Oreochromis niloticus: one gene and its partner. Each later gene encodes a partner of the first gene's protein in a complex. Links are inferred from orthologs where the notes say so. Each region holds a gene or a part of one and is shown on either strand. Other genes may lie near its edges. The genes, in order: camlg and get1.

Region 1 (4,137 bases):
CTCGGTTTCAGCAGGTTGTTTTAATCTAATTGTTGAACAGGTATTTGTCTTTTCCTTATTAACAAATAGTTTTTTATCTTTTTTTTTAAAAAAAGGGGGGGTGATGGGTGTGGCAACTTCCATCCCCTGGATACAATGTCCAGTAGATTTGAAATCCTGTTTAACCAATAATTCATTGAGAAGTGTAAACATGATCTTGGTTAGCTATAACTGGTTAGTCCACTCTGACTGGTTAGTCCTCTCTGAAGACACAGCAGTGTAGCAGAATTAAGGCTGTGAATTCATAGGCGTGCTCCAGGACCTCATGTCCATTTTAATATTGAACTTTGTATGAACTTGGCGTTGGTTGGTTGAGAAGATTGCGGCTAAAAAGACTGGGCTGTCAGAAACAGCACAACTACATCGGCGAAACCGCAATAGGTCATTGTATTTGATTTTCCATTTATACAGAGGAAAAACAAAAGTAAAATATTATTTGTAGTGCTGTCCACAGCTGTTACACAATGTGTGCATGCAGACTGATGAGAGTCTTAAAAAGTAAAAACTCACCTTTGGAAAGTATTTGGACAACCCCATGTAGGCCAGTTCAAGTGTCAGAAATGGAGCAAATATTGACTAAAATAAAACAAGATAAATGTAGCATTAACAAATAAATACATATTTGGTACTGATACTGGCATAAAATGTAAAAATGAACTCCTTACTAGTGCGCTAACAAGTCTGTTAAAAGCTACAGGCTCACCAGATACTTGCAGACAAAAACCCTGACAAAAACAGCAAGGAGGACGCTGCCGATGAGCCTGAAGACCCTGAAGGGATCAAACTCCTCTGAGTCTGACCCTCCGTCCTCGGCCGGCTTTTCATTGGCCAGCTGACCCCGAAGCTTCATGGCATCATCAAAACGAGACAAGTAGGATGCAGAGAGAAAGCCTGGACGAGGAGAGCCACTGACATCATCTGACGGCCGCTCGCCCCTCGGTCTCCGCCGGACTCCTCCGATATCATCTTCCGAGGATCCTCCAGGTGGCTCACTGGAGAGCTCTGGCAGGGGTGAGCCTCTCCTCTCCGGGGTGGAGCTGTGGGAGTGACTGCCAATCCCTGGAGACGGTCTAGGAGAAGATGAGGCAGTGGACCATGGCTCTAGAGGCAGATGGAACCGGGGTTCTGCGGGACGCCGTGACGCTCCTGACAATGAGAAGACAATAATCAGTAATATGACATTAGCTAGTGCTAAAATGATTAGTCAGCTATGCAGAAGTCCCCACCCCCCCCAAAAAAAACAAACAAATCCAGGTGTGATGTAACTGCAGAGTTTTAGCTTTAATTCAAAAGGATTTAACAAATTAACTAATGATCTTTATAAACAAATTGCAAGCAGTTTAGATTTTGTACAGGGGATGATGGTTTTACTTCAGTTCAGAGACAGCATAATATGGATAACAGATTGTAGTACCAGTAAGTTTCCAGTAAGCTTCTTTTTGCTGGGTTTGATGGAGTGAAGACACTCTGATGACTTCCAGCTTGTCTGTGTTGTTGAAGTTAAACTGGGATGTTAATGTCAGCATAATTTTTTAAACAGCCATTTCCCGTGCCTCACAGTGTTCAAGAGCACAGGAGTGAGTGAGAACAGCGAGGTCTGAGCAAAAACAATCAGGACTTGTCAAAACTCATAGTATGTTCCACAGAATTGAGGATTTCAACACATTCAAGTCTGGGAAGATTGATTTTGGATATTTAGAGTAGGATAACTTCAGCAAGGGCACTCATGATGAAGGAGGAGAGCCTGGGGCTCAGTAGATATGGCCACACTGAAGAAGAGAACAGTGACTGCTGATGATGGTCACTTTTTGAAACATGATAACTATGATGTGTTGCCAAAGAAAGGTAATGACATCTGTACTGTGAGGAGCTGATCATAGACAGTAATGCTGGTGTTGTGCCATAGAGTGCTTGTCTGCCACTTCTGATTTTTCTATGCATTTTCAATGTATAATATCTTTGCTTATTGTACCTACATTATAATAAATCCAGTCATTTTGGGCCACTTAAAATATCTCAATAATTATTTGTTGCAATTTCAGCTAACCTTTTGGCTATATCTCTCTATTCTGCATGCCAATTACACTTTTTACCCTGATAAATAAAGGATATATAAAAGTCACAGCCAAAAACCAACTGCAGCGTTTACCTTGTCACTCACTCCTGTGCTTTCTGGTTCCAAATCACTAGATATTTGTTACGAGAGATATGCTTGGCATGTATTTTTTGTTTACTTATGTACTGACTACTGCAGCTTCTCTGCAGGTGGCTTAAAGCCTGTGTGCAATAGGACAGGTTGGCTGAGGTACCTTCTATCTACACTGCTGTATTGTTGTGTATTAATTATTCTGTTTAAGGGAGCTGAGCAGCCTGTGAGCCACCCTCTGATCCGCACCTGCTAATGCTAACAGCATTTAGCATGATTTGAATCCCAAGCTGCTGCCATTTTCCTCTTCTAGTTAATATATCTGTAGTGAGCCCGATTATTTACATAGTAAGTTATGGTCCTAAAAGACAGCACTAACGTCCTGACTGCAGCAGCAGGATGAGGCGGGTCTCTGTCACGACAACGTGTTTCAATAGGAAAGACACGCCCAGGAGAAATTCAGAGGATCGTTTGTTACCGATTACCGTTATTTTCAGGCTCGTTTTTGGTGATTCCCACGATCCTGTTCATCCTGTCCTCTGAATTCATGAGCAGCCTTTTCCTCCGGATCTCCGCTCTCTTCTGCGCCGCCGACATGGAGCCCGTCTTCTCCTCGCTGGCCTCCCCGGACTCCATGTCGATAATTAAGTAAATTAGCCTTTAATGCAAATTCAGCCCACAGTACATAAAGCTAGCGCTTCAGTAGCTCACGGTACACGACACAGAAGCCTCAGACCACTGAATTAAACGCTTAACACGAACGAGCGACGAGCGTTAACTGTGGCGCACGGTGATGATGTCAGCAAGTGACAAAGACGTTTTTTAGATTACGTCAATGATTTGTGATGATTTATTACGACCAATAATAATAAAATAATAGTAATGAAGGGGCTGGATGGGTATATATATTTACTGCAAAAAGGCAAATTTACAACAAAAACGGGTCATAAATTTTCAAAAAGAAAGGTGAGGATAAAAACAAATGGCAAGTTTACAAGAAAAAGGTTTAAAAAAAACTCGCTATATTTATGAAAAATATATATATATTTATGGTAAATTTAATCGTTTCGTTCTTTATTTATTTTATTCTTAGTTTATTTGAATCTTCAACCTCTTTATGCATTTCAGTGGCTCTAATACGCCTTCATGAAACTGTGCATAAAAATGTAAAAAAAATATTAGCATTTAACGAGCGTATAAAAGTACAAAGAAACACACTAAGGAAACAGTGTTTTCTGAGTGGCAAAGCATAATATCTCACAGTAAATTCTAAACAGAAATGTTTAAAAAGAAAACAAAAAACGGGATAATTTCATACTTTTTGTTTTAATCACCATATCACAAGAATCGCCATATCAGTACAAATGTCCACTGATCAATATTCTACGATAGAGTATTAGCACTGTAGAGAAACGTGGGATTGAACCTCTCACTACATTGGAGACAGGATAAAAGGTCTTAACATCCAGCCTTTATGATTACAGTGAAACAAAGTTCTAGTAAAGAGCTTATCAATGTGTGTTTTTCGTTTGTATCAAAGTTATAATCAAAGTATATGTCTAAGTAATATGATGAATGAGAAATCAATTTGTGTAATGAAACTGATTTAATATTTAATCTCCTGACCTTTTACTGTGATTTGGTGAGTGTGCGCGCTTTTGTGCTGAGGTTGATTGTACCAGCAGGGAATCTAAATATGGCACACAGCCTAGAGCTTGTCTGAGGTCTGTAGTGCTTGGTCAGAATGACTAAGCAAATACTCAGAGAAAGTTTGATTTTTAACATTTATGATTTAATTAATTTAATTGATAAAACAAAATTAAATGAAGTAAATTGTGGTTGACAAACTGAGTTTTGAAGAGTAAAGATTAGAGAAAGTACTTCTATATAATGAGCTGTTTGGAAGATTGGATCTAAGCATTCACATAAAATTCCAGGGGAGATACCAGAGG
Region 2 (3,600 bases), on another chromosome or scaffold:
GAGCTGACTCGAAGGATCTGGCGGGTGCGAGTTTATTTCCCACAAAGCAACAGCAGCTCCGTGGACACAAGAAATAAGGAGTGGACTCACTCCGCCTGCTGTCACTGTTTATATCACCAGCGTGACTAAACTGGAAAAAAAAAAAAAAATAAAAAAAAAATAATAAGGTCATCCTCCATTACTAATAGAGCTCCGCTTGACAGCAAAACGGCCAGATGTGTCGCTGTGCTGTCGAGGATACATCAGCTGCCATTAACGAGCCAAACCAGAGAGGGGGGGGGGGAAAGGGACTGCACACCTCAGGAGTGACGCGCACCAGCCTTCCAGTGCGCGCACACTCGCCTGAGGTCAAAATCTCCGCCAAATTTGGCCGCAAATGCGACTAAAAAACCCGACACGTCCCTGAAAGTGCAGCTGGTACCTGAAACAGCACGCGTGTAACCCAGAGCACAAGTAAATAAATAAATAAGGAGGCAATTACGAAAGAAATTTCCCCGAAATGCCAACCTGTGCGCCTCGATGGTGATTACACCCCTTTGTTTCGGCGCACAGTTGGTGACTATTAAAACTCAGCCGGGCACACGGTTTACAAAACAGAAGCTTTAACTGGACTGGGGGGGAGAGAGCGAAAAAAGCAGTGCTAAGTAAAAAGGCGCCACTTCCCTGTATCAGCGGAGTGAGACACGACAGACCTGAGCGCAGGCAAAGGTGGACTCCACGGCACGCACATGGACACGCCGTAGCGTGTTGCATTGCATTGCTCCTGCATACGTGTATTAACACCACAAAACAACTGCTACAGTTTCTTAAAACGCTATTTCTGCATCATGCCGACCCAAGCGTAAAGCACACATTTTCTTTCCACTTACTTTCTTCCTTCCCATTGTTGCTTAGGTTGCACGGCAGGAATTTTAAAAAAAACAGGAACACTGCCTTTCTTAAAACAGTTACACAAACAAAAGGAGGAGTTGTTGTTGTTTTGTCAGCCCAGCCACCTCTGCCTACACCTCCACCAGCTGCAGTCTGTAACTTAACATAAACGTCCGAGCAGTACCAGAACTAGCTCAAACCGGATTGGATCCCCCTCTCGGTATATTTTATCCCTTATCCTACCAACCTACCAGGAAGAGAGAGCCCCCGCCCACTGCTTCCTGTGATTGGCTTTGAGGATGAGGCAGCATATTTTTGAAACACAACATCTCTACCTGTGTGGGCAGGACAGTGTGCCAATCAGTCAATCCAGGCCTTATCTAACTTTATAACCGCTTGGCTGGCCGCTCACCGGGTGTATTAGTTGTGTGTGTGCGTGTAGGGTTTAAATAATGTATGGCAGATGGTGAGCTTGAGATATAGTTTACATAAAGAAAGAAGATTATTAAAAAAATAATAGTGCCTGCATTTTTCTCCCTTTCCCATCCAGTCCTTTATTATAGAGGACGCCATATATATATGCACGTTACATTATTTCACTACTGCAGTGTTCAAAGACAGTCGTAATTACTAACAGCATGTCCCGTCTTTAGTGGGATAATTATTAAAGTCAGTGCACTGAGCAGTCCAGCCGCTCAACAGCTGCAACAAGGAGGAGGCTGACTGAGTGGAGGAGAAAGGAAACAAACATGGCGGCCGGCTATGCATGGTTCCTGGTGCTTGGCTCGGTTTTTCTCTGCAATCTTATGAAAATCCTTCTACCGACCATATCTTCCTTCGTGAGTAGGAGTTATTGTTTGCATATATGGTAGTTGTTAAAGTTGTTTGAATGCCGGTGTATTATTATCTGTGTCCTCGTCGGACACACGGTGGATTGTTGTTGACTTGCTTAGCCGTCTGTCAAGCTAACTTATAGCTGTTGTACCTCCTCAGTTATAGCTGAGCTACAACCAGAGGGTGGGGTTAACCGAGAATCCGGTAGTTGCTGCATTTAACTGGGATTCTTTTTCCTCCTTTATCGCCAAAGGTCCTGCTTTAATGTTAAGAAACTGTGTTTACAGCTTAGCTATACGGCTAAAGATTGTTTGTAGCTCGAAAGGTTGCCTCATGGAAATCTTAAGTGTTAAACTGACATTCATAGGTACTGATTAGACTGCCTAATGGGGACTAGTACTGTAATTATAAACATTTCAGTCAGGCCCAGGCTGCTCAGTAATAGTCTTTTCTTTGCCCTTCTTCAAGCTCTCAAAGATGGTGCAGAAAGATGCTGAGCAGGAGAGTGAGATGAGGGCTGAAATCCAAGAGATGAAGAAGGAGCAGTCCTCCATTAGCATGATGGATGAGTTTGCTAGATATGCCAGACTGGAGCGCAAAATCAACAAGACAACAGACAAGCTGAAAACACATGGTGAGATGTAAAAGTGCCTACTGACATTCAGAGGATAGCTGGTGTGACAGGAGCCTCAAAATGAAGTTAACTGCATCAGAGTGATGAGCTCTAAAAAGTTAAAACTAATTGCTTTTTCTTTATGGAACACAGGAGAAAATATGTAGTAGGTATTCTTAAAGGGCATATATTATGTCTTCCACAGATGTGAATGTCTGTTAATGTAGATTTACATGTTAAAAATTATCAATCAGAAGACATATTTGGGGGTTTTTAGAGGTAAGTGACTGTTTTTGGCCCCACAGCCTCAGGATTAGCATCCACTTCTGTCACACCAACCCTCTGCATGTGTTCTTTCACTGAATCCATCAGTCTTCTCTGTGGTCTTCCACTTTTCATCCTGCCTGGCAACTCCATATTAAACATCATTTCATCCAGTATATCCACCCAGCTTCCTGTGCACATGTCTAAAACCTTGTCTAAACCATGTTAGCTTGCCTCTAACCATATCACCAGACTGCAGACCTGTCAATCTTGGTCACTCCCATCTTCAGTTCTGCCACCACCAGCTTGAGCTCCCGTCTTTTTGTCAGCACCACTGGCTCCAAACAATACATCATAGCAGATCTTACTCCCATCTTATGAACCTTCCCTTTCACTCTTGTTGCTATCCTTCTGTCACAAATCACCCCTGACACTTGTCTCCATCCACTCCAACCTGCATGCCCTCTACTCTTCACCTCTCTTGTTCATGCTCTCTTGTTTTGGTTTGTTGACCCAGGCAATCTGGTAAAGAAACACTGTCTGTTCTGTGTGATAACTTACTTAGCAATACAAAGGCTACTAAAGACTGTTTCCCTGCTGACATATTCCAAAACCTGCACATTGTCAATTTTAAATTATTGTACAATCAGCATTACACCCAGGCTCTTCTCTATGTACTTAAGTCATTATTTTGATTTTATTCTGACCGCACTGTCTTGTGATTCTCAGTGTTGACTCTAATCCTTACCTGATTCTTGAATAAAAAGTAATAGTGCTGTCTGTTTACACTTAAGCAAAAGATTTACTTTGTGTAATGTTGGTATTAACAAAGCCCATATAAAGAATGGACTAATACTTTCCCTGTTACCCTGTGACTGGTTAAAAAAAGTAATTTATCCTGGTTTCATCCCTTGACATGGGATGGTCAAATAATAAAGTGAAACAAAATGACAGTTCCATCTGATTTAAAGGAACTGGCAGTATCACTACAAAATAAAGAAAAATTAATATGTTGAGAC

The links.
Region 2: camlg (region 1) and get1 share a complex: the UniProt entries of both Homo sapiens proteins name them as parts of the golgi to ER traffic (GET) complex. The link is inferred for Oreochromis niloticus from reciprocal best matches to the Homo sapiens genes CAMLG and GET1.

What each region holds. Positions count from the first base shown.
Region 1 is NC_031975.2:23,197,817-23,201,953, reverse strand, and holds the start of camlg (guided entry of tail-anchored proteins factor CAMLG), read right to left. Parts: upstream 3,002-4,137; 5' UTR 2,822-3,001; coding exon 2,671-2,821; intron 1,186-2,670; coding exon 743-1,185; intron 616-742; coding exon 550-615; intron 1-549. UniProt on the Homo sapiens protein: Required for the post-translational delivery of tail-anchored (TA) proteins to the endoplasmic reticulum.
Region 2 is NC_031979.2:14,818,518-14,822,117, reverse strand, and holds the start of get1 (guided entry of tail-anchored proteins factor 1), read left to right. Parts: upstream 1-1,231; 5' UTR 1,232-1,619; coding exon 1,620-1,709; intron 1,710-2,172; coding exon 2,173-2,338; intron 2,339-3,600. Other genes in the region: hmgn1a (non-histone chromosomal protein HMG-14A-like), read right to left, coding at 870-884. UniProt on the Homo sapiens protein: Required for the post-translational delivery of tail-anchored (TA) proteins to the endoplasmic reticulum (ER).